Linked DNA regions of Callithrix jacchus. The protein of the gene in region 1 purifies or fractionates together with the protein of each later gene. This does not show direct contact. Links are inferred from orthologs where the notes say so. Each region holds a gene or a part of one and is shown in the gene's direction. Other genes may lie near its edges. The genes, in order: VAPA, AKAP11, OSBPL10, VPS13C, RMDN3, ZFPL1 and RASSF3.

The links.
Region 2: the proteins of VAPA (region 1) and AKAP11 purify together in Homo sapiens (co-immunoprecipitation; 3 studies listed by BioGRID and IntAct, counting the BioPlex papers as one, with this or other methods). This does not show direct contact. The link is inferred for Callithrix jacchus from reciprocal best matches to the Homo sapiens genes VAPA and AKAP11.
Region 3: the proteins of VAPA (region 1) and OSBPL10 purify together in Homo sapiens (co-immunoprecipitation; 4 studies listed by BioGRID and IntAct, counting the BioPlex papers as one, with this or other methods). This does not show direct contact. The link is inferred for Callithrix jacchus from reciprocal best matches to the Homo sapiens genes VAPA and OSBPL10.
Region 4: the proteins of VAPA (region 1) and VPS13C purify together in Homo sapiens (co-immunoprecipitation; 3 studies listed by BioGRID and IntAct, counting the BioPlex papers as one, with this or other methods). This does not show direct contact. The link is inferred for Callithrix jacchus from reciprocal best matches to the Homo sapiens genes VAPA and VPS13C.
Region 5: the proteins of VAPA (region 1) and RMDN3 purify together in Homo sapiens (co-immunoprecipitation; 4 studies listed by BioGRID and IntAct, counting the BioPlex papers as one, with this or other methods). This does not show direct contact. The link is inferred for Callithrix jacchus from reciprocal best matches to the Homo sapiens genes VAPA and RMDN3.
Region 6: the proteins of VAPA (region 1) and ZFPL1 purify together in Homo sapiens (co-immunoprecipitation; 3 studies listed by BioGRID and IntAct, counting the BioPlex papers as one, with this or other methods). This does not show direct contact. The link is inferred for Callithrix jacchus from reciprocal best matches to the Homo sapiens genes VAPA and ZFPL1.
Region 7: the proteins of VAPA (region 1) and RASSF3 purify together in Homo sapiens (co-immunoprecipitation; 3 studies listed by BioGRID and IntAct, with this or other methods). This does not show direct contact. The link is inferred for Callithrix jacchus from reciprocal best matches to the Homo sapiens genes VAPA and RASSF3.

What each region holds. Positions count from the first base shown.
Region 1 is NC_133514.1:52,968,922-52,971,515, reverse strand, and holds the end of VAPA (vesicle-associated membrane protein-associated protein A), read left to right. Parts: intron 1-1,323; coding exon 1,324-1,482; 3' UTR 1,483-2,094; downstream 2,095-2,594. UniProt on the Homo sapiens protein: Endoplasmic reticulum (ER)-anchored protein that mediates the formation of contact sites between the ER and endosomes via interaction with FFAT motif-containing proteins such as STARD3 or WDR44.
Region 2 is NC_133506.1:161,427,939-161,431,438, forward strand, and holds part of AKAP11 (A-kinase anchor protein 11), read left to right. Parts: intron 1-1,084; coding exon 1,085-1,225; 3' UTR 1,226-3,500. UniProt on the Homo sapiens protein: Binds to type II regulatory subunits of protein kinase A and anchors/targets them.
Region 3 is NC_133518.1:70,218,676-70,222,778, reverse strand, and holds the start of OSBPL10 (oxysterol-binding protein-related protein 10), read left to right. Parts: upstream 1-1,303; 5' UTR 1,304-1,429; coding exon 1,430-1,710; intron 1,711-4,103. UniProt on the Homo sapiens protein: Probable lipid transporter involved in lipid countertransport between the endoplasmic reticulum and the plasma membrane.
Region 4 is NC_133509.1:8,779,673-8,783,172, reverse strand, and holds part of VPS13C (intermembrane lipid transfer protein VPS13C), read left to right. Parts: intron 1-731; coding exon 732-853; intron 854-1,379; coding exon 1,380-1,674; intron 1,675-2,923; coding exon 2,924-3,313; intron 3,314-3,500. UniProt on the Homo sapiens protein: Mediates the transfer of lipids between membranes at organelle contact sites. Necessary for proper mitochondrial function and maintenance of mitochondrial transmembrane potential.
Region 5 is NC_133509.1:45,816,680-45,820,751, forward strand, and holds the start of RMDN3 (regulator of microtubule dynamics protein 3), read left to right. Parts: upstream 1-1,272; 5' UTR 1,273-1,328; intron 1,329-1,743; 5' UTR 1,744-1,750; coding exon 1,751-1,937; intron 1,938-4,072.
Region 6 is NC_133511.1:122,149,535-122,153,574, forward strand, and holds the start of ZFPL1 (zinc finger protein-like 1), read left to right. Parts: upstream 1-1,240; 5' UTR 1,241-1,397; intron 1,398-1,700; 5' UTR 1,701-1,708; coding exon 1,709-1,810; intron 1,811-2,124; coding exon 2,125-2,236; intron 2,237-4,040. UniProt on the Homo sapiens protein: Required for cis-Golgi integrity and efficient ER to Golgi transport. Involved in the maintenance of the integrity of the cis-Golgi, possibly via its interaction with GOLGA2/GM130.
Region 7 is NC_133510.1:54,612,960-54,616,459, reverse strand, and holds part of RASSF3 (ras association domain-containing protein 3), read left to right. Parts: intron 1-1,562; coding exon 1,563-1,670; intron 1,671-3,500.

The sequences.
Region 1 (2,594 bases):
ATGAAAAACCCTGTGGTTTGTAATTCATACTGCATGTGAATCACCCAGTGAGCTTTAAAAAAATTCAGTTTACCAGGCCCTCCTCAGACCTAGTGAATCAGAATCACAGGAGTATTAAAAGTTCTGCAGATGTTACTGAAGGGTAGCTGAAACTGAGAGTTACTGCTGTTTTTACACAGGACCCAAAAAACCCAACTCCAGAAAATTCAGTAATGCAAATAAAACTCTTTTAGTTAGTGTTTATTTATAAGCACAATGAAGGAATCCTGGGAGAACATTTTGCCTTGCACTGAAAAAAGTAAAAATCAGTCCTGCCATTCATCAGATTGGATAAGAGACACAGATAAAGCCAGCTGCATAGTTAACAGGTATTAGTATTTTCCCCAAGTTTCATACTGCACACAGTGTCATAACAACTTCCTGCCTTAAGTGACTTCTGCTTTCTTCTCAGAAACCTTGTCCTCTAAAGACGGTGCTATGTGAAGCCATAGCAGTAAGAAAGAAGCAACCCATTCTTACCTGGAGGCTCTAGGTCATTTTGACACAGAGAAGCACCCTCAGTTTCCAGTCCAGGTGCAGAGCTTCAGATAAGGGGGCTCCTATATACATTTCTCATCTAAATTTATGGTTTCTGAAGAAATAGTATTCTTTGCCTGCTTTGCAATCCAGACCTGGTGCTACTGCTTTACACACAGCCGTTTGCTTTGCTTTGAGCATATGAAAACACTGTTACTTAAATTTCATACTAAGCTGTTTTCTTCCCCCAAATTCTGGGATCCCCGTATCTCTGTTTTGTGCTTCTGCTGTTCCGGTTCCTCAGTTGCAGTAGGCCAGTAAACACAACTGGCAAACTACAGGTTTGGTAGTTTTCACTGGGCTGGGACAGATGCAACTGATTTTAAATACCGTGGGCCACCTTGGAAGTAAGTGTACAGAACTCTTCTTTAATTGTGTTTTTAGTGGGATTAAAAAAAATGTAAATATAACTATATCTGACTTTTGTATTTTAGGAATACATTTCTCAGCTCCAGTTTAAAAACATCAAGTGTTATTGAGGTATAATTTACATCCCATAGAGACACCCATTGTGAATATACAATTCACTGATGTATAGAATTTTGCAGCCATCACTATAGTTCAGTTTTAGAATGTGTCCATCAGTCCCAGAAACTTTCCTTTTGTGGTTAGCAGTTAATTCCTGTTTCCGTCCCCCGCCATGGGCAACCACTAATCTACTTTCCATCCCTGTAGATTTTTAGCTTCAGTAGTCTTGTTAGTACGCTTGTTTTTAAAAACCTCTTGTGTATGTGTGTTTTTTTCTAGGATGAAGGTTTAAGGCTCAGAAAGGTAGCACATTCGGATAAACCTGGATCAACCTCAACTGCATCCTTCAGAGATAATGTCACCAGTCCTCTTCCATCACTTCTTGTTGTAATTGCAGCCATTTTCATTGGATTCTTTCTAGGGAAATTCATCTTGTAGAGTGAAGCATGCAGAGTGCTATTTCTTTTTTTTTTCTCTTGACCAGAAAAAGATTTGTTTACCTACCATTTCATTGGTAGTATGGCCCGCGGTGACCATTTTTTTGTGTGTACAGCGTCATATAGGCTTTGCCTTTAATGATCTCTTACGGTTAGAAAACACAATAAAAACAAACTGTTCGGCTACTGGACAAATTGTATATTACCAGATCATCACTAGCAGATGTCAGTTGCACATTCAGTCCTTTATGAAATTCATAAATAAAGAATTGTTCTTTCTTTGTGGTTTTAATAAGAGTTCAAGAATTGTTCAGAGTCTTGTAAATGTTATTTTAATAATCCCTTTAAATTTTATCTGTTGCTGTTACCTCTTGAAATATGATTTATTTAGATTGCTAATCCCACTCATTCAGGAAATGCCAAGAGGTATTCCGTGGGGAAATGGTGCCTCTTACAGTGTAAATTTTTTCCTCCTTTACCTTTGCTAATATCATGGCAGAATTTTTCTTATCCCTTGTGAGGCAGTTGTTGACTGAGTTTTTCATCCTTACAATCCTGTCCCATGGTATTTAACATAAAAAAATAATAAAACTGTTAACAGATTCTTGCTTCATAGCTTGTTTGTGTCTGTCGTGTTATTAGAGGGGAGTCCACTATATACGGTCACTTGAAATTATGATGCAAAGGTTTCTCTTGCATTGAAACCCTCTCAGATATTACAGTATTTTTAATTGAAAGCCCTAATTCTGTTAAGGAAAGGAGTTGATTAAATTTCAAGGTACTACTAGTATTTTGGGAGATTACAGTTAATTTGTTTTCAAGATAATAGAAAATAAGGTCCATGAGAATAGAAGTTACGTGATTTCAGTGAGTTGATGTGTTCAGCATGGCTGTGCTCCATCTGATTTGCCCCATTCATAACAAGTTCTGAGAGTATGTTCTCAAGATTTAACTCTCCTTGGTTTTAAAATACGTTTTAACCAGTCTAATAAGTCTTATTTGTAACATTTCATAATAATAATTAAAAGGTGTTTTTTCCCACCCAGTTTGGCACTCAAAGTAAGGTTCATTATGGAAGTTTGGTAATACTGAGCAAGCCTATGGAATTTTCTT
Region 2 (3,500 bases), on another chromosome or scaffold:
TAATAAGCATTGTGTGTGTTCCTATGGGAAAAAAAATGAACTATTCTCTGTATTTAATTGATTCATAATTGCACCAAAGTAATTAATATGTCTCTTTCTTTGATAATCCAGTTTCATTCGCATGAGAAGCTGTCATAATCAAAAGCTGATAAAAGTTTAAACAAGATGCTTACTATGTGCCAAGCACCTTATTAGTCAAGATTTTCAGTATGCAGTCTTAAGGTTTTTGTCACACAATTTTCTTTATCACAGCTTTCCTTTTGGTGTGGTGGAAATATTCCAGTTGATTGTGGTAATGGTTGCATTCAACTTGGAGAACATACTAAAAGCCATTGACTGAGACGCTTTGGGTGAATTATATATTGGGTGGATTTTATCTCAAAGCTGTTTTGTAAAAAAGTTAAGCATATGTATGTTACACAAAATTAAAGTAGTTTTTCAGAATTTAACTTAGAGATCTTTCAGAACCTAAGAACTTTTATAGAACTTAGTAGAAAAAGAAATGAGCAAAAGCATGTCATGAGTGGTAACAACAAGAGTTATTTAAACCTGTATTTCTTTGTTTATTTTTGTTGTTGTTGTTGAAACATGAGCATTCCCTAACTTAGAAAGCCGTGTTTGCGTTGAGGCTAGAGTGTCTGTTCCAGAAAAATACCACACTCTATGTTGTGTATGTTGTGGAAGGAAAATCCACATCCCTTTATTAAGCTTGCTGTTGCCTTTGTTATTTTATGTTCTAATTGAGGGTGTGGCAGTTGTATTTAGTTAGGTGAAGAATTTCCTGTAGAAACAGCCTCTGCACACCCGCACAGGCTATCCGCTGGGTGAGGTTTGTGGAGCTCTGTCTCCAGCGATCCCAAAGTGTCATTCTCTGGGAGAGATGTATTTATAAAGGCGAAGAAGGGAAAATGTTTAGTTTGGGTAAAGGGGTGGCAGTTTAGAGGAGAAGACCTTGTTATAACTAGGAAACAGTATTTAATCGGAAACAGCAGGATTCTTAGTTTCAGCTAATATTGAAAATAAAAAGAAAAGCTTTGTTATAAAATGGTTTTTGGTTCATGTTTGACACATCTTTCTTTCTCAGCTTTCAAAACGGTTACAAGAGAAAGGATGGAAAGTGGGAGACCTCCTGCAGGCTGTGCTTCAGTACTACGAAGTGATGGAAAACGCTTCCAGTGAGGAGAGATGCAAGTCACTGTTTGACTGGGTCCTGGAAAATGCATAGAACAGACCCCAGACCAGCATATTTTAGTATTTGTTTGGGGAGGAGAACAAGCCAGTGCAGATGATTAGGATAAAATTTGAGTAGTGAGTATTAACAGTGTAAGTCAATTGGGAGGAAAGTAAATAGAGCTTTCTAAGCGCTTTGTGTTATCACCTGGTGTATATAGTTCATACTTTTGTAATCTCTGTCAAAATAACTATCTTCATTCTCCTATATACATGTGTAGTGTGTCAGAACCCTAAGAACATGTAATTGAAGGGAGGTCTAACCCTGGGGTGTTCAGGGGCGTTGTCTGACCACATTCTTTTTGTATCCAAGTGCTGCTAGAAGCTGCACTGAAGTGCTGAGGATAGGTTCCAGCCATGGAGTTCTAAGTTTGCTCCTTTGCAGACAAATGGTATCTAATTAATAACTAGTCTGACATCAGAAAATAAGATTGAGGCTAATTTTTTTTAAATTTCTAGTAGATTTTTGGTCTTTCTTTCCTGCTTTTAAAAATCAGTTTCATTTTCATAGTTCAGCTGTTGGTGGCTTTATTTCCCCTATTTAATTTCTTAGTAGAAACATTAGTGTTTTAGGTTTCTATAAACACTGTAAGTGATAGTTTCCCCATCCTTTCATATTTGCCAACGCTGCCAGTCATTCTGGCATGAAAGTGATTTTGTGTTGGGTTGCGTGCGTGCGTGCGTGTGTGTGTGGAGTACTTGAACCTTGCTAGTTTGTTCCCTCTTTTATTTTACTATTTTCTTTTTAGAAACCCACTGTTAAAATTTAAAAAGGTGCTTTAAAATACAATGTCTAGAAGGATTGTGCAGTAAGAATGTTTATTCCTGTTTTTGAACAGTCTTGGTGAAAATGTAAATTGTAAAACATGTTGGAATTTTAAAAATTAATGTTAATATGGAAACGCATTTACAGAAGCCCAATAGTTTTTATTGTTGGATTTTTTTTTTAAAAACTGTCTACCGATAGTGTGGCTTTTTTCTAGAAAAATCGGGATTTTTGCCCCCTGATAAAATGTGTCTACAGTATCTTGTCAGGCTCTCTGACATGACCTTTCTGGGCTCTACAGTTCCTACTAGTTTGTCTCCAGACACTGCAAGATGACATGAATAGAGGACCAAGATTGTGTCTTGCTTTTGTCTCTCTCTCCCCTTCTCCTCACTCTCCCCACCCATTCTCTCTTCCCTGCCCCTTTTCTTTCTGCCTCCCTCTGCCCTCTTCCTCCTCCCCCGACTGTGTCTCACCTCCCCCCCATTCTCATTCACCTCCCCCCATGTCCTGTGTACGTGTGGGTGTGTGTAAATGTTGGTTTTCCAGAGCTGGATTTTGTAATCTAGGATAAATCACTTTTTGTGGGGGCTTTGATTTTACTGCGTTACATTTTCATTTTTTCTGAGCACTGACTGTTCTGAAAGCTGCATAAAACGTAGAAGACATCGCGCCCGCCAGGGAATAAGGAATAAGGGCACTTACATTAATGTGAATTAGAAATTGTGGTATAGAAATACGTTTTATAAAAGATTCAAATGTGCTTTTTAGGAAAAAGGCCAAAAGCTATTTAAATAGTTTGAGGTTACATTGTAGGTTTTGATTTTTCTCAATTTAAGATGCAGAAATAGAGCAAGCCTTAAATATCAAGTTTCCTAAAGTTTCTTCAAGTATTTTTTAAGGTGGAGAAATGCCAGAATTGTATAACCAGAATTGTTTCTGCCTTTAGCTTTTAAGAACTTGAGATGTGGCAGCACTGGACCGGGTTTTTAAAGGTTAGGACGAGGAATGTTTGCTCTTGGTAATTATGAATTGATTATTATGTTTAGAATGCATTTTTACAAGTACCTAACTATCAAATTGTGTTTAGTAACTTGAGTGCATCAACAGCAAAACAGAGTTCTGAATTTCTTTTAAACTAAAGTGATGATATATTATTTTGTAAAACTTTCTGTGTTTGAAAATGTTTATGTCTATTTCTGTTTATGGTGTAATAATTCTGGGATGAGGCTTTTCTGATTCCCTTTGCATTTTGCTGGAGCTGTGCTGGCTTCAGCATTTCCATATTTAACCATTACTTAATGACGGACCAGGTATTGGGTATTAGCATGTGTGGTAATAATAGCGGAACTTCACATTTACATCAGTTCTGTGCAGGGGCGTAGAGAAAAACATTAAATATCGGTGGCTGTGAAAAGAAGTGCGAGTTAAAAATATAAAATATTGGCAGATGTGAAAAGCGTCATACTTCCTCATATAGAGAAAAGAACTTTGAGTTTAGAGT
Region 3 (4,103 bases), on another chromosome or scaffold:
AGCTCCAGAAGCTTCTCCGTGAAAATCTCTAGAGCTAAACCACCCGTGAAATATTCCTGGAAGGATGTGAAGCTAGAAAGGGGTCAAGCTCGGGGGAACTGCCCCCTTGGGAGCTGACTCTTTCATTCAGGAATTTTTTTAACTGTTTAAGTATTTACCTGCTTCATGGGTTCACAGATCCTTTGGACTGGGATCACCTATCATCCACCACCTTTTGTTTTGTCTGTGTGTGAGAGAGTCTGAGCTCCTCAAAGCTTTTTCTAGGTAATTTTTGATATTTCAGATTGCAATGGATATCTATATTAACAAAAATTATTAGTGGGGCGGAAAGAGCATCTTTAGGTGGGAAGAGGGGCACAGAAGTTACAGCCAACACAGAGAATCCTTCAATGTTTGTAAATATCTGTTAATTTCCCTTGCCTCCCCCACAGTTTTCCTGGTTTCAGAGCTTCTGCTCCCAGGTACATGTGCGGCGTGCTAACAATGGGTAGATTTTTGACTTGCCAGGTTTATGCGTGTCATTCAGGGCAGGGGATTAGGCTTAGGCCAGTGAGTTACCTAGGGCACTCAATTTAAGGAGGCACTCGCAAAAACCTGAGAGTTCGCGCGCCTCACCCCAGCCCAGCCCAGCCCAGCCCAGCGCAGCCCAGCTCAGTGTCCGTTAAGCATTTATCATAACCCTGCTGCATGAAAATGCCCGGCGAGCTTACCTGTGAGGATCACCTGCCACTCCCTTCCTCCGCCAGACGCGCGGAGGGCCTCCCTGTCCTGTGACTTTGCGTCGCCAGTGATAATTTCCAGATTACTGTGTAGGAGCGTCTGGCCCACGATCGTGTGCGGAAGACCGAGAGAGGGAGTGTGCGTGTGAGCCAGTCAGGCCGGGCGGGTCCATATCCGGGGGTGGGTGGGGCCGCCCCTCCCCTCCCTCCAGGTCCCGAGGTGGATAGGGGGTGGGGAGTGACGCGCTGAGATTCCCTTTCGCCCCTTCGGATCCTAGAGAGCGTGGCAGAAGGAATGCGAGGGTGACTTGGCGTGGATTTAGGGCGTGCCCACCTAGCAGATCGGCCTCCTAGAGTGTCCCCAGGGCCTGAGACGCCGCGGGGACAAGGAGGAAGAGGAGGAGGAACCCGAAGAGGGCTCGCCTAGCCGGGCACCGGCCCCGAACTTGCCCGGGAAAGTAGTGCGGAGGGAGGGGCCGGCCCTGGCCGCGGCGGGAGGAGGGGCGGTCGCAGCTGCATCCAGCCCCGTTGGCTTCCTTCCCAGCTCTCCTTCGCCTCCTCCTCCTCTTCCTCCTGTATGAGTCAGGCATTTCCCGGGGATTTGGAGCAGCCACGCGCGGCCCGGGCGCTCGGAGCTGTATCAGCAGCCGCCGCCGCCTTGCCGGGGCCGCCACCGCGGCGGGCACCCGCGTCCCGGGCGCGCACGGATCATGGAGAGGGCGGCCCAGGGCGCAGACGGCGGCGGGGGCAGCAACAGCAGCAGCCGCAGCAGCAGCCGTGCCACCTCGGCGGGCTCCTCGCCCTCCTGCTCTCTGGCGGGCCGGGGGGTCTCCAGCCGGTCGTCGGCAGCCGGGCTTGGTAGCGGGGGCAGCCGCAGCAGCCCGGGCTCGGTGGCCGCTAGCCCGTCCGGGGGAGGCGGCCGCAGGAGGGAGCCGGCGCTCGAGGGCGTGCTCAGCAAATACACCAACCTCCTCCAGGGCTGGCAGAACAGGTAACGCGCCAGCCGCCCGCGCCCCTCCTCGCGCGCCGCTGTGTGTGTGTGTGTGTGTTTGTGTGTGTGTGTGCGTGCGCGCGCGCGCGATTGTGCCTTCAGCGAAACTAGTAATGCCTCTGCACGGTGCCCTTCCTGCGTCCCTGCTCCCCTCCAGGTGGGGTGCCCAGGATGGGGCGCGCCATGGCCCCACCCCGGGACGGAACCGCAGTGGCGGGGAGGGAGGCGAGAGCCCTGGTTTTCTTCTGTGCTGGCACCTGCAGAGACTGGAGTGGCAGGAGGAGCGTGCTGGTCCCGGTGCTCTGGTTGCCCGCGGTCTCCCGCACCTCTGAAGAATGACAGGGAAAGGGAGGCAGAAGGGGCGTGCTTTGTGCCTGGGTGAAAAAGCATTAGCACGCCTGCTCCGATTACGGCAAATTTCTGCGTAACACAGTTCATTTTAAAGTTTGGTGCTTCCGAACACCTCCACTAGCAACAAAAAAACTGCCACTTGTCATTCTGGGAGACCTTACATACCCCTGCCCCAGTTTGTGCCTTGCACCCTCCGATCTCTGTAATGGGAGTTTTGTTTAAATAAAGAAAGAGGCCGGGCGCGGTGGCTCACGCCTGTAATCCCAGCGCTTTGGGAGGCCGAGGCGGGTGGATCACGAGGTCAGGGGTTCGAGACCAGCCCTGCCAAAATAGTGAAACCCTGTCTCTACTAAGAATACAAAAAATTAGCGGGGTGTGGTGGCGGGTGCCTGTAATCTCAGCTACTCCGGAGGCTGAGGAAGAAGAGTCGCTTGAACCCGGAGGTGGAGGTTGCAGCAGCCCAGGCGACAGCGTGAGACTCCAACACCAAAAAAAAAAACCAACCCTCCTCCCTTTTAATATTAATAGCAATTTACATTATTTTCATTATTTCCTCTTCAGGTCCCTTTTGAAGTTTCCTGCTCACTTCCCCCTCACAGTTGAGAAGCCTAGTTATACACACGTGGAAGGATGGGGCTGGTGAGGAAAGGGCTCAGGAGACTTGGAATGGTGGTAGCGTGTGTGAGATCTGCCATCATGAGGAAGAGAGGGACAGATGTGGCACTGCTGTTTACTGTTTGTTTGTTTTTTTTTCAGATTGTTTGTCAAAAGCAAGCCAGAGGGAAATACAAATGTCCCATGAGAGGAGAACAATGCTTTTTGGAGAGGTGGTTGGTGGGATATTTTGTTCTGCCTATTTAATGGTCCCCAGATTTTAATAGACTTGGGGCTTTTAAGGATGTTCGTGAGATTTGAATCATACCCTGGAAAGTTGCTTATCTCTGCTGCATGGACTATCTTACTTGGTTATTTCTTCCAGTAGATTGTTGGGAAATGTTCAGATTTGCTTCCATCTGAAACATATCAGGCAGTTATTTACATGAAACTGAACTTGAAGGAAGAGGACTTCTGAAGTACCGAAACAGTTGTTTCTGTATTGATATTCTACATACAGGACTTTCTGAGTCACCTGGGCTTCATGGGAGATGTGTTACTATGTTTGTGGAAGTTGCACTTAACTTTTGAATCCTTTTATTTCTCAAAATGGTCCTAGTGCCCGCTGTTGCCTCTCCCTTTCCCCTTTCAATTCGTGAAAGATGAAAAAGAATAGGTAGAGTGCGTAGGTAGAGGGAGAAGGAGATGACTAAATCTGATTTCAGTTCTTGCTAATTGTGTCTTATTAAGGGCAACTCAAGGGGTCTTGTCAGTGACAGTGTTTTGTTGGTGTGTTGAGCAATCACGTTTAATAGTCTTTTTTTCAAGTAGCTTATGAGGCCAACAGAGCTTTTATCCTGGATTTCAGTTATTTTATTATTTACTTGCTGGGGAACAATTATTTTACCTGCAATGTATATTAAAGGATTTGTTCTTTGGAGTGAACTTAGGAGGCAGTGGAGTACCTTTCTTTTGCATTATTTTAGACCCGTTTTGGTGTTTAGATTGGAGGCAAGGTTGAGAAGAAGCACGCTTAATGACAATAATAGCTACGTGATTGCAGGCTACCTGGGTGAAATGTGGTATTATGTGCACTTCTGAGCATGCTTAAGTGATGTCTCATCTTTATTGAGTTTGTTTACTGCGATTTATAGCTGTCTGCCAATGTTTGTTCTTACCACAGTGTACTCACCGTTTTCCAAGTCTACCACTGACTCCGTAAGCATTGTCTATAATTGTTAACATCTCAGTGTCAGGGTTTCTATTTCCCACATTGGGTTCTCTGAACGATGGCTGAGGGTCCATTAGTGGTTTGGAGAAGATTTATGATGACTCTGTGATTGCAAAATTCTCCCTTCTCGAGGGGTCTTATCAAGGGAGAGTTGGATTACTGAAAAGGAAGAGAGAAGAGGGTAAAAATAGAAACTTTGAAAACGCCTTCGTTTGTT
Region 4 (3,500 bases), on another chromosome or scaffold:
TTGTAATTGTAGTTAGGCAACATTCCATTCTCTTTGTATGCCACTTGGATTATATTTTTCAAGTATGTATGAAGGGATATTGGAATGATCTCCTCCTCTAAAAACATTTTAGCATCTTAATCTCTGTAAATATTTCTACTTTTAAGGCTTTTCCAACATTTTTCTTTTTCTCTGTGTGACTACAGGTTTCAGTATGTGGTCAGCAAAAGAACTTTTTTTTTTTATCTCTAACATCAGATAAATAAAAATACAAAGGTTTCAAATTTTGGTCATTGTTATGTCTTAGTTTGTTATTTGCTCCGGTGCATAACAGACTTTAGTCAAGGAAAGAGAGTTGCACTATTTTTCTTTCTCTCTCTCTCTTTTTTTTTTTTTTGCTATTCATTTCTGTTTAGTTATTATACATGATACATTGAGAAAAGATTGTCACAGAGAAAAAATGGCTTAAATCTTCAAAGAATAATACATATTTGAAAGATAATATAGACTAATAGTAAACATAAGCTGATAATACATGGAGCATTTGAATACCTAAATTTTCAACTGCCACTAAACATTAAGTGTAATATATATAACACCTAAATATTCTGAAATTTTTCAGTTGGCAGTAAAAATATTTTCTAGTATTGAGTTTGAAGTTTTTTAGATCTAAAAGTAATTGTGTATGGCTCTCATTTTTCTTTTGAACTTGTGTATCTTTTAAAAAATTTGTATGTCTTTTTGTCCAACAGATCAAAAACCATTTCTCCATTCCATTTATCATCTATAAATTTGTTAAGAATGTTAAGCTATTGGAGCGTATTGGGATAGCCAGACCTGAAGAGGAGTTCCATGTTCCTTTAGATTCATATAGGTAGATACTTCTTTAAATGTACTGAGCATTAAAAATTCATAATACATATTTTTAATTGTGTGAATTGGGGATTTATATTCTGGAAAATAACTTCATATTTTTATTATGTAAAGATTGGTAAAAGCCAATTTTAAGACATAATTTATTCTTACATTACGAAATACATTTACATTATATTATCATTGAATTTATCAGATGAAAATTCCTTATAATATATTTGATGTCAGAATTTTTCTGAGTATTTTTATTAGATTGCCTTTGTATTTGAAATGAAAAAATGTTTTTAAGTTGTCTTTGTTTACAGAGTTTTTTTTTTCCCCCTCCCTAGAAAGTTCCTTCACAAGTTGGGTATGTGATTTTGGGTGAAATTTGTAACCTTTTTTTCAGCCCTGGTTTCCTCATCTGTACATCTGTAAAAACAGGAATAATAGCACCGATCTTCTAGAGTTGTCAGGAAGATTTAATAAGATTCTTTGTCTTAAGTTCTGGATCAAAACTTTATTCTCACAGTTTCCTCTTTCTGCAGATGTCACTTGTTTATCCAGCCAGCTGGAGTCTTAGAGCATCAGTACAAGGAATCCACCACTTACATTTCCTGGAAGGAAGAACTTCATAGGAGCAGGGAAGTCAGATGCATGTTGCAGTGTCCATCAGTAGAAGTCAGCTTCTTACCTCTCATCGTGAATACAGTGGCTCTGCCTGATGAATTAAGCTACATATGTACACATGGGGAAGACTGGGATTTAGCTTACCTTATTCATCTTTATCCTTCTCTCACTTTGCGAAATCTTCTCCCATATTCTCTAAGATACTTACTTGAGGTACGTCTTTTGCATTTAGTTTGATTTTTATTGCGGCACAGAGTAAATTTTGATTGTTTTATGGTATTTTTAATTGAGGTCACTGCTTTATATAGCATATATGTAATTTGTAATGCCTTCATAATATTAATGATAGCAAAAACTGGCATAACATTTACTGTGTGCCAGGAACTGCTCTGTGTACTTTGCATGTATCAGCCTATTTACTCTTTATAAGAATCCTGATGTAGGTACTTATTAGGCTCACTTTATGTATCAGGAAGCTGAGTTGAAAACAGGTTAAGTGACCGGCTCAAGGGCCCATAGCTGGGCAGTGGTAGAGATGCGATTTGAACCTAGGCAGTTTGGCTTTTTGATCCCTGCTCTTTGTGGCGTCTTCCTTCAGTTAAGAGCCATGATCATCTCTTTGTTAATTTAGTAAAATTCCATTAACCAAAAGATAGGAAAAAATGAGAAAATATTTCCTCTTACATTTTTTATTTTAAAATAAATATTATAATTATTTCTTCAAGGTCCTATTGAAACTAAACCTTGGAAAATAAAAATAATTTACTGTCTGTCTAAAGAAGTAATAAGGATTTTCTAGTAATGGAGTATGATAAATATTTTAAAATTTTTGTATGCCAGTATATTTTAAAATACTAAAATCTGGAAAGTATTTGGAACCTATTTTTTTTAATGTGGTAATGAGCCATTCCTGAGTTGTGGAGACAAAAATTAATTAAATGACTTAAATAGTATTTACATAAGAGGAGTTTTCAGTAAGGAAACCTGGTTTCTATGTTGTTATTCATTTTTCAAATAATTCCACCTTAGATTACTCGTCAGAATAGTTTGATACCACTTTTCTTATTCCATTCATGTGGCAACCGTTAGGCATGATGCATGGATAGAGGATAAAACCGAAGGCCAGGCACTGAAGTGGCTCATTTAAAGCCATAGCTCTAATGGACAACAGCCAAGCTTCCTGAATCCAGTCTTTGACTCTTGTTATAGACCTGATTTTTTCACAAAATCATGGCGATTAGCCTCCTAATGGCCAAAGTCACTTTCTGCCTGTGGCTATGGTACAGTGTTTGCTTTTTATTCCTTAGCGAGTACTGGACATTTGTAATATATAAGCAAGGTACTGCACAGAAGACTTGGCAGTTAACTTGCAACTGGTAGGTTATTTAGCATTTATGAAAAATATGGATTTTATTTCAAAGGTTTTTAAAAAATCACTAATAAAGTTTCTGTTTGGTTTCAGGGAACAGCAGAAACTCATGAGCTGGCAGAAGGCAGTACTGCTGATGTCCTGCATTCGAGAATCAGTGGTGAAATAATGGAATTAGTCCTGGTGAAATACCAGGGCAAAAACTGGAATGGACATTTCCGAATACGTGATACACTTCCAGAATTCTTTCCTGTGTGTTTTTCTTCTGACTCCACAGAAGTGACGACGGTCGATCTGTCAGTACATGTCCGGCGCAGTGGCAGCCGGATGGTCCTGTCTGTCTTTAGTCCCTATTGGCTCATCAACAAGACCTCCCGGGTTCTCCAGTATCGTTCAGAAGATATTCATGTGAAACATCCAGCTGATTTCAGGGATATTATTTTATTCTCTTTCAAGAAGAAGAACATTTTTACTAAAAATAAGGTGTGGTTTTATTCACATAGTAAGTTAAAACAGATAAATTTCTGATCTAGAAACTTGGGAATTATTTGCCTTCCCTAAAACCATGCTTACCTGTTTGCCAAATGCCATTGGTGTGAATTAGGCTCAAGGAGACTTAAGCATAATCAAATGGTATGTTAGCAGCTAACTGGTTTCCTGAGCCTGAATC
Region 5 (4,072 bases), on another chromosome or scaffold:
AGTTTTATTCCTTAAACTGTGACGTGGGTACCTCAGTATTTTACAGTGCTTCTTAACAATGTATGTATACTTTAAATGTATTTTTTTTTAATTAATTAAGAGACAGGGTCTCACCAGGTGCAGTGGCTAACGCCTGTAATCCTGGCACTTTGGGAGGCCGAGATGGGCGAATCACGAGGTCAGGAGTTCGAGACCAGCCTGGCCAACATGGTGAAACCTCATCTCTACTAAAAATAAAAATAAATTTAAAAAATTAGCTGGACATAATGGCGGGCGCCTGTAGTCCCAGCTACTTTGGAGGCTAAGGCAGGAGAATCGTTTGAACCCGGGACCCGGCGGAGGTTGCAGTGAGCTGAGATTGCGCCACACTGCACTCCAGCCCGGGTGACAAAGCAAGACTCCGTCCCAAAAAAAATAAATAAATAAATGAGAGAGAGACAGGGGTCTCACTCTGTTGCCCAGAGCCGAGGGTGTTCATGGTTCACTGCAGCCTCTACCCCCTGGGCTCAAGTGATCCTCCCACCCCAGCCCCTAGAGTATCTGGGACTAATCACATGCCACAACCGCAGGCCTCCTGCATTCTTGTATGTATACAGTGTCTCACAATTAAAGGGTAAATAAACATAAGATCTAGTCAAGTGTATTGGGAGGACTGGCCTAGATATTTCTTCTTTCACTAAACTGAAGAAATGTTCACAATAAAATTGTTATCACAGTTCATAAAATCGGCGTTTTTAGTTGCCAACATTCTAAGAAGTCGCATACAAGAGTAAAATGGAATTATTAGATGGCACGTTATGTTTAAGATTTATGGCCGGGTGCGGTGGCTCAAGCACTTTGAGAGGCCAAGGCGGGCGGATCGCTTGAGACCGGGATACCAGGACCCAGTCTCTACAAAATAAAAATAAAATGTGGGGAGAGGGTGACGTTTTCCAGAAGGGGAGGTCCAGGCAGAAGCACAGGTAGAAAGTGTGAATATGCTGAGCGTATTCCGGGAGCAGCAAGTAAGCCGGTGTGACCGGAGGGAACTGCAGCTCTGGCTGCCGGACACCGATGGTGACTGCGTGAGCGTCCAACCAAGAAGTCTCCTGCTTTCCCGCTTTTCCCAAGCCTTCTGCCCCTTTCCTCTTCCCTTTCGCGCTCTGTGCTGACTCCGCCCCTCTGGCGTCACTCATCGCCCCGCCCCTAGGGGAAAGGAGGCGGGGTCGTTATTGTCATCTCCCTGCGCCTTCCCGCGGCGCGTCTAGATGCTGGCGCCGTCTGCCTGACGTCACAGTCACGGATAGCGTGAGTCCGCGGCGGCTGCTGCCATGGTTGCTGGCTGCCGGGTAAGGGTCTGAATTGATCTCTTGCCAGGCCAGAGCTCCTTCGGGGGCTGCGGGGGAATACCAGGAGTTTGCAGCTAGGGCGGCGGGTTTGTGGTCTGCAGTGTCGTGAGGCCGAGGTGGGGGTCGAAGGCCCAGGAGCCGGACTCTGAGCCGGGTCGAGGGGTATGCTGAAGCGGCTGTTACGTCCAGGTTGGGTGAGGGGAGCGGCAGTGGGGCCCTGGGGGCTGGAGGAAGCTTTAGGGTTCACACTGGGGTGCAGGGAGTCGGGAGCTCAGGGTTTGGGCAAGGGGATGTCTGCTGGGGTTCGGCCTGGGGGAGGCTTTGCCAGGCTCACGAATCTCTCTCTTCCTACCCCTGCCCGCCCACCTGGGCGCCTGCCTGCCTGCCTGCTCCCGGTGGCTTCTGCGGGCCGCAGGTACAGCATGTCTAGACTGGGGGCCCTGGGCGGTGTCCGTGCCGGGCTGGGACTGTTGCTGGGTACCGCCGCCGGCCTTGGATTCCTGTGCGTCCTTTACAGCAAGCGATGGAAACGGACCCGGCGCCGTGGCCGCAACCAGAGCCTGCCCAACTCCCTGGACTATACGCACACTTTAGAGCCCGGACGCCAGGGTAGGAGCCCATCCCGAGACCGCAGTCACTGCAGACTAATGGGCCTGGGGTCCGGGCTGCTTTTGGTGGAGGCCGTGGGACTGGGCAACGGAGGGAGGTGCCTTAGGGTTTCACTGTTCTGGAAGCTTGTTGAAAAATCAGTCGTCAGGCTGGGCGCGGTGGCTCACCGCTGTAATCCCATCACTTTGGGAGGTCGAGGCGGGCGGATCACCTGAGGTCAGGAGTTCGAGACCAGCCTGGCTAACATTCAACCAGATTTCAACATGGTGAAATCCTGTCTTTACTAAAAATACGAAAATGAGCGGGCGTGGTGGCATGGCCTGTCATCCTAGCTACTGGCGAGGCTTAGGCACGAGAATTGCTCGAACCCGGTAGGCGGAGGTTGCGATGAGCAGATTGCACCACTGCACTCCGGCCTGGGCGATAGAGTGGGACTCTTGTTTGGAAACGGTAGTTTGGAAGTCTCAACGAGCAATCACCTTAGATTGCAGTTGATTGTCAGCATTTTCTAACCTGGTGATAATTGAGCCTGCAGATTGCACCACTGCACTCCGGCCTGGGCGATAGAGTGGGACTCAGTCTCAAAAAAGAAAAGGCAGTCGTCGTTTTCTGTACTTTTTCCCCTCTATTACCAAGAAAATATATTTCAAAAAGTCTGCTTAGCTTTCACTTTTAGTTCTGGCCACAATAGTGCTATGCGGATATTAAAGGCACTTGATTAGTGTTGTGTGAGGTGTGTAGTAAGTAGAGGAAGAGTCCAAAAGAGGGCAAAAAGAGTCTTGTAGGAATTAAAAGTCTTGAGGCTTATGTATTAAATCGTATATTAGAATTTGAAGGCAACTTGGAAACTATCTCATTCAAGTTTTTTTTTTTTTTATCTGTCCTATGAGGAAACCGAGATTCAAAAAGATTGTGTAACTTTCCTGAGGCGGTCACAGATTAAGTGGAAAGGTTGGGCTTGGTCACCTGGTCCAGTGGACTTTGTACGGCATAGGGCTAGGAGCACGCGTCATGAAGTTGAAGCTGAGTGTGGCTGGCAGCCTGCAGAGCTGAAATGAGTAGTTCTTTCAGATTTGCAGAACTTTCCTTGTTTGAGCAAAGTATCTAGGGCTGGTTCACACTACTACCGTCTTTGTTTGAGAGGAGTGTTTCTTTTTTCTTTTTCTGTTTTTTGAGACAGTCTCTCGCTCTGTTGCCCAGGCTGGAGTGCAGTGGCATGATCTTGGCTCACTACAACCTCCACCTCCCAGGTTCAAGCGATTCTCCTGCCTCAGCCTCCCAAGTAGCTGGGATCACAGGCATGCATCACCATGCCCAGCTGATTTTTGTATTTTTAGTAAAGATGGATTTCGCCATATTGGCGAGGCTGGTCTCAAACTCCTGACCTGAAGTGATGCACTGGCCTTGGCCTCCCAAAGTGCTGGGATTACAAGTGTGGGCCACCGGGCCTGGCCGGGGGAGTGTTTAGATTATCTCACCCCCATGCTAATTGGAAATGAGTGTTTTCTCTGATTACCAATGTTAGCTTGTTTGGAAAAGGTAGTTTGGAAGAGTCTCAACGAGCTATCACCTTAGATTGCAATTGATTAGCAGCATTTTCTAACCTGGTGATAATCTAGTATTGCAAGTGTGCTTCCTTCCGTTTCCTTGTCGTTTGTTTGCAATTGCCCAGCTATAGTCTTCCGAGATGAGAAGAGAGTGGCCACATTCACAGGATTCTTTCTTGCTCTGCATTCTTGAACATTATTGGCTGTGTGTTGTGGCCTGGCCTAGTTTACCAGATTTCCTTTAAGAAGGGATTTTGCTTGATGTATGTGGATCCTGCCTCTCTGGTTTCTTTCTTGTTTTTGTGTTTTCCAGTCCAGTTACCATAGGTGGCTCTCACTTTGGTAGCATTTCACTGCTGGAATTTACTCAGAGTGAGATTTAGGGTTGGGTCCATGGGGCTTAGTAATGGTGTCTTTATGAGATGGTTTGAATGGGCTTTTTCTGGTATACCTTTTCTTTTAGCAACTGGCCCCTTTCTCTTAGTGGGGGGCAGTTACTAAGTTCTGGGAGAAGCTCCAGGTTTTCCCTGCTATTCTTTGTGAAGTGAGAGATCAGAATTTGAGGGAGCTCCATTTTAGTTTTGCTGT
Region 6 (4,040 bases), on another chromosome or scaffold:
CCCTGCACCTGGCCCAGATTTTCTATAAATGAAACATCCTTTGATAATAACTTCTGCTAAAGCTGTAAAAATATCATACACATGACTTACCTTAGACCACCCATAAATGAAAACTGACGACAAAATGGATTAGAAAGATAGTACTTGCAGTTAAGACACAGCTCAGCTTTTAAAAGAAGTTCTGGAAAAATGGTAGAAGTACACAAGGCATAAAAAGTTAGGTGTATTAAGTCTTCAGGGAGTAATGAAGACTGGCAATGCATGCAGGTGCCCAAAGGCAAACTTACTGCAGTATTGCAAAACAGCTCCCTGGGCAGATGTGAGCAGCCAATGTGTACTGTCCAGCTCTAGAGTGGCCCTGATTTTACGTAACTAAGTAGATTAAAGTGAACTCACCCTAGGGCTCCTGCGAGGCGAGTGAACAGCTGGGACCTGCGGGTGACAATACCAATTGATCACATAGCTGGTTTTGCCCACCTACCAACCCACAACATCCTATCTTAGCTTTTACCTCTACAGCATGGGCCACGATCTTCTTCAAGACGATGGGCTTTCTGATTGCTGCCGCACTGGGTGTCTGGAGAAGAAGGATGAAGATGAGCTCTACATTAGGTGACGGGCGACAAGGGGAGGAAGTGAGAAACCTGCGGCTCACCTTCGGCCAGATTTCAGGGGGGATGCTTGGGAGATCAGAACCTGATTTCCGTTGGGACCTCCGCACAGACTTAACAGGAGATGGGGCCCTTGGCCCTGGAAAGAGAGAAAAGTTACGAGAGGACTCTAGGTCTTAGAGTCCAGAGAACAGAGTCTAGAGAAAGCGAGATTCCCAAACAAGCTCTTTTAAGGGCGCCTCGTCCGGCGGCGGTAGCAGCCGGAGGGAAGGGCCATCTTTCACAAGACCGCGTCCCCCAAACTGCTCGACCTCATGTCTCCCGCGCGCCCTCCGCTCACCGGAGCGCTGAGCGGCCCCTCCGGACCGCGTTCGCCTCCCAGGCATAACTAGGCTCCGTATCGAGCTCCTCCAGAGCCGCCACCCCGGGCGCGCGCCAACCGGGAAGGCCACTCGCTGCAAGAAACTTTCGAATTACCCGCCCTGCGGGGAAGGAAGCGGAAGTGACGTAAGCGAGAGGTCCGCAGCGCCTGGATCATGCCCCAGTCTTTTCCACCCGTCTTCACGTCTAGCGTCATAGAGGCGTGGCCCAGTGGTGCGATGGCGTCATCAGCGCGCGCCGCACCCGGAAGAGACGTGGCAGCGGAGGGGTAATCGAGACGGCCGAGGCTGAAGGGAGCGGAGCAGGAGCCTCGGGGAGCGTGGTCCCTGCCCTACCGCTCCTCGAATCATCGCTAGCGCCCTTCGGAACTGGTGCAGAGGCCGATCAGTAAACACAGAGACTGGGGTCTGTAGAGAAGGGGCGGGGCTTGGAGGGGGTGGGGCTCAGGAGGGGCCTTGGGGGCGGGGCCGGTGGTATTGGGGAGTCGCTGATGGAGGGACCTGGCCGGGGGCGGAAACCAGAAGGATTGAGGGGTCGCCGGAGGCGGGACTTATGCTGGGAATGTTTTCCCGCCTAAGGAAGGGCAGTGAGCAGGAATCTGGGGTCGGGGCGAATATGAGAGGTGTTGGGGAGTTAAGTGGAAACTGGGCTGGTAAGAGCGTAGTGGCGGCCACCAGAACCTGGCTTCCTACCAACTCCCTTTCCCAGGATCGATCATGGGGCTTTGTAAGTGCCCCAAGAGAAAGGTGACCAACCTATTCTGCTTCGAACATCGGGTCAACGTCTGCGAACACTGCCTGGTAGCCAATCACGCCAAGGTGGGGCCTTCAGGGGGAGCGGTTGAGCAGGGCACTGGGTGGGCAGGCGGTATTGGCTTCCTCCAAATCCATGAGGGGCCCCGCGCTAGAATGTAAGCCCCACGAGGGCAAGGACTTGGTTTATTTTGTTCTCTGATATATCCCCTGGCCCCAAGAGAGAGTCTGGCACACAGTATGTGCTCAATAAATGTTTATTGATTGAACAAATGAAAGGATGAGTCTCCTCTGTGACTAGAGAAAAAGAGGCTGTTGGACCTTGGGGTGATAGGCCGAGCAGCACCAGCACCAGTTGTGACATCTCTCTCCCACTCCAGTGCATCGTCCAGTCCTACCTGCAGTGGCTCCAGGATAGCGACTACAACCCCAATTGCCGCCTGTGCAACATGCCCCTGGCCAGCCGGGAGACGACCCGCCTTGTCTGCTATGGTGAGGCCCTGGCATCTTGGGGGGATCAGGCCAGCCTCAGGGGCCAGCTTGGTGACTGGTTTCCAGGCCCGTCTCAAGCAGCAGGACAGTGATTCCCCCAAGTCTCAGAGCCCAGATTCTAGTTCTGTTAAAGTTCCTTACCTGCTCTGTAAGTTCAGGCAAGTTGTTCTTCCTTTCTAGGCCTCACTGTCTTTCCTAAAAAGTAAAGCTCCAGGCCGGGCGCGGTGGCTCATGCCTGTAATCCCAACACTTTGGGAGGCCGAGGTGGGTGGATCCCGAGGTCAAGATATCGAGACCATCCTGGTCAACACGGTGAAACCCCGTCTCTACTAAAAATACAAAAAGTAGCTGGGCACGGTGGCGCGTGCCTGTAATCCCAGCTACTCAGGAGGCTGAGGCAGGAGAATTGCCTGAACCCAGGAGGCGGAGGTTGTGGTGAGCCAAGATTGCCATTGCACTCCAGCCTGGGTATCAAGAGCAAAACTCTGTCTCAAAAAAAAAAAAAAAAATAGTAAAGCTCCTAGTTCCTCTTTCCTAAAAATTAAAACACTGCCAATCTGGAGGGTTGAGCGAGAGCCAGTCAAGCTTGTGGGTATGGTGGTGGCTGTGACTATTAGCTAGCCAGACCAGCATGTAGCTCTCAAGGTTTCGGATATTTAGGATCCAACACTGATTCCAGGGCTAAACAGAGAGGAAGTGAGTTTCCCACATTAAAGTTAGCTAAAAGAAGTCAGCAGACATATGTGTCATGACTTTGACCTGAATCTGGAGTAAGAGCCTTAGCTCCAGTTTTTGTTTTCATTTTTTGGGTTTTTTCTGAGACAGTTTCACTCTTGATGTCCAGGCTGGAGTGCAGTGGCATCATCTGGGCTCACCACAACCTCTGCCTCCCAGGTTCAAGCGATTCTCTTTCCTCGGCCTCCTGAGTAGCTGGGATTATAGGCATACGTCACCAAGCCCAGCTAATATTGTGTTTTTAGTAGAGACAGGGTTTCTCCTTGTTGGTCAGGTTGGTCTCGAATTCCCAACCTCAGGTGATCCACCCGCCTCAGCCTCCCAAAGTGCTGGGATTATAGTCAGGAGCCACTGCGCCTGACAGCTCATTTTTGAAGGAGCACATGCAAGAGACAGCTCTTTATGTGTTTCTCCTTGTGTGTTGCAAGTGTGTGCTTGCAGGCATTTAGTGAACATGGTGTGTTCAAATGAGTGTTAGTGTGTTGATTAGTACTTGGGGGTGAGTGAATGGGTAAATGTACATATGTGAACATATGAATACAGGTATGTTGTGGGAGTGCAAGAGAATGCATGGTTGAGGGTGCCTGAGTGTGAGCAAACCTGTGAGTATATAGATGTGTATGTGTGAGGGCTATGGTGCCCATAGTCTAGATAACAGGGAATGCCACTTATGTTTGAGTATGTGCTTATAAGCACATGTACATTTGTGCACATGGATATGAACGTATATATATGTTCCTGTGTGTATATCGAGGAACTTTTTGGAAACTGTTCATTATTAGCCATTAGCCCAAAGAGTATGATGAGTGCAGGCCCAGAGAGGACTCACTTCAACGGGAGGTGACATTTTCTTGCCACCCAACCTCACCCCTGTGAACTGGACAGATTGGTAGCAGCTGCCTGAACTTAGATGGTGGTAGCCAAGAAGACTGACGTTTTAGGGAACACTGATGAAACGGACCTTTAGGGGAGGGGGGGGAAGGGGGAGGAGAAGACTCTGGTATACATATATGTGTTCATATGTCCCTACAGTGGTCTGGGGGCTGATGCTAGGCTAGGAGCCCTAAGT
Region 7 (3,500 bases), on another chromosome or scaffold:
TTTCACTGAACAGTTACATTTTTTTCCAGCAGTTTAATTTACTGAAACTGGCGTAATAATGCCTCCTTGATTAGGTTGTTGGGAGAAGTAAATGTGGTACAAGTTAGGTACTCCATCAGGGTGACAGAACGCTGCAGTGTGGTCATTTGCGATCACGTCTGCTGCTGTATAATGTCATATGCTGGTGGGACTCTTTAGACAGATAATTATTGATAAATTCTTCACAGCGAGAAGAGGATTTGAGTCATATTTCTCCCTCTAGAGTATGGGGAGGTAGAGAGGTGCATGAGACTGGAAGGGTGGGGAGGTCGCGGCAGGGGTGGGAAGGAGAAGTCTGAGTACTTGTATCTTGGCCTGGGGATTTGTTTGGAAGATGAACTACCCTCTGGTAGATGTGTACAGTTTGACAGGTCAGGGATTAGTGTGAGTCCATGAGTAGTGCCAGTTAATATTAACTGCTGTACTTTTTGCCGATAAATATTGTAAAGCTATTAAGACAACAGAGTTAATACAGTTTGCTACAGAGAAACTTGTGGTATATGTCTTTAAATGTTGTTTAAAACAGAAATGGCCACTCTAGCAGGCACGCTAGAGTGATGTTTTTGCAGAAGAGAAATTTAGCAATGACAGTTTTGCAGAATAATATTGGTAATGAAGTGTTACTTCTAGCTGCTGACAAATTAGTTTTTTTTTTTTTTCCAATATATCCCCAAGGGAGACTGTAGTCTGAAAGAATGAGAACTGTAATTGGTGGATGAGCCTGGAGAGTTTGAAAGAGAGAAAGGGAAGCAGTGAGGGGGAGAGGGAGAGAGTGTGTGTGTGCCTCAAGGTGACATGCAAGAACAACAAGGTCGTTCTTGTGTGGGATGTAATTTATTTTTATTTATTTATTTAATTTTTGGAGACAGGGTCATACTATGTCATCCAGACTACAGCACAGCACAATTATGGCTCACTACAGCCTCCACCTCTGGGCTGAGGTAATCCTCCCACCTCAGGCTCCCGAGTAGCTGGGACTACAGGTGCACACCACCATGCCCAGATAATTTTTGTGTTTTTGTAAAGATAGAGTTTCAACATGTTGCCCAGCCTGGTCTCAGTATCCAGGGCTAAAACTTTGCCCTGCTTGGCCTCTCAAAGTGCTGGGATTGCAGGCATGTGCCATCATGTCTGGCCCTTGTGTGGAATTTAAAAAGACTCCTGATTCCCCCCCACCCCCTTTTTTGAGACGGAGTTTCACTCTTGTTGCCCAGGCTGGAGTGCAATGGCATGATCTCAGCTCACTGCAGCCTCTGCCCCCCGGGTTCAAGCTATTCTCCTGCCTCAGCCTCCCGAGTAGCTGGGATTACAGGCATGCGTCACCTGCCTGGCTAATTTTGTGTTTTTAGTGGAGACGGGGTTTCTCCATGTTGGTCAGGCTGTTCTCGAACTTTCAGTCTCAGGTGATCTGCCTGCCTCAGCCTCCCAAAGTGCTGGTATTACAGGCATGAGCCACCTCGCCTGGCCTGTCCGCATTTTTTTCTGTGATAGCTTACATGTGACTTGGCTTGTTTTTCTTCTAGGATGTCGAGAAAGAGAAGGAAACCCACAGTTACCTCAGCAAAGAGGAGATCAAAGAGAAAGTTCATAAATACAACTTAGCAGTCACAGACAAGTTGAAGATGACCTTGGTAAGTACCCATAATACTGTTTAGGTTGACACCTGTCACAAGACAAATGTAAGTTGTTGGTATTACAATCTATATTTCTAAATATCTGAATAACATTTGTAGAAGTGTAATAGTCAAGTATACAGAACAGGAAAATGGAATATTTCCATGGCTTTCCAAAGTACAATTTAAATCTGTACTTTGAAGTAACTTTGTCTAAAAAATCAGTTGCTGGGTTACCATTAAAAAAGTGAAACACTTAAAATTTTATTTTAAAAGATTTTGTGACCCACCCCTCCCTCCCCAAAGGATTTTTAGCAGCATTGCCTGACATACAGAAATAGAGACTCAGATTCTAACAAGACCTCAGATAAGTTTTTTTTTTTTGAAACAAGATTTTGCTTTGTCACCTGGGCTGGAGTACAGTGGCACAATCATGGCTCACTGCAGCCTCAAACTCCAGTCTCAAGTGATCCTCCCACCTTAGCCTCCAAAGTAGCTGTGACCACAGGCACTTGCCACAATGCCCAGCTAATTTTTATATATTTTGTAGAGACGGAGTTTTGCCATGTTGCCCAGGCTCATCTCAAATTCCTTGGCTCAAGTGATCCACCCTCATTGGCCTCCCAAAGTGCTGGGATTACAGGTGTCAGAAGCTCTGAAGTTTTTGTCTTGTACAAAATAAATATGGAAATGTCAGGGAAAGGATTTTGAGCCCATAGAATGGAATATACAGGTATATAGTAGGATATTTTTCTCTGCCAGTTGTTAGTGTAAGACGAAGTACTTAATACTCAGTTTCCTCCATGTCGTTGTCCCAGGCTTCCACAGCATTGCACCACACTGTTTGAAGCACACAGAGAGTGGGCGTACAGGAGGGAGAAGGCTCAGGGCCTGGTGACAGGGAAACAGGAGCTGACAGCAAAGCTAGAGTATTCCTGTTCCTCTAAACTGAGCTGGCATCTAGGTCTCACCCACCCATTGGGTGGTTGGCTTTCTTCATGGTGCTTGTCAGTCCTTGGTGCCAGTTTCCAGGGCACTTGGACCTCTCTCTCTCAGTCTGTTCACTGTGAACTGACAGAGTTTGGTAAAGGACAGGGTGACCAGTTTAAAACAGGCCCTACTGAATCCGGTTATTCTTGGGGAGGAGCTTTCAGATAGAAATACTTTTTGTAAAGGACCCCCTCCCTGGTGGAACTGCTCCAAAAAGAAGGGAGAGGGGCAGAGAATCCCAAGATAACTCTTCATCATTCCAGCAGCAAGATTTCTTTTTTTCATCAAAGGAGAATTTCACTTCCTATGTTTTTTTTTTCCTTTCCCCATCAAGATTAAAACAGATACAAATATTCATATCATTTTAAAGATAAAAATTTTAGGTCGGGCATGGTGGTTCACACCTGTAATCCCAGCACTTTGGGAGACCAGGATGGGACCAGCCTGGTCAACGTGGCGAAACCCTGTCTGTACTAAAAATACAAAAATTAACCAGACGTGGTGGCGGGCACCTGTAGCCCCAGCTACTCGAGGCTGAGGCAAGAGGATCACTTGAACTCAGGAAGTTGAGGCTGCAGTGAGCTATTTCATGCCACTGCACTCCAGCCTGGGCGACAGAGTGAGACCCTGTCTCAAAAAAAGAAAAAGAAAAAAAAAAAGAATGAACAAGAGAATTGTTATTGCAAATTGATCTTGTGGGAAGGAAGAAAAATAACCCACCATAAAAGTGATTTTAAATGTTCTACTTTAACTGCTATTTATATATAACACTTGACAATTCGTTTTAATAAAACACTATAATAAATCTTTTCTTTCTAAATATGCTGTTTTGGTTTGTTTGTATTTGAGACTGAGTCT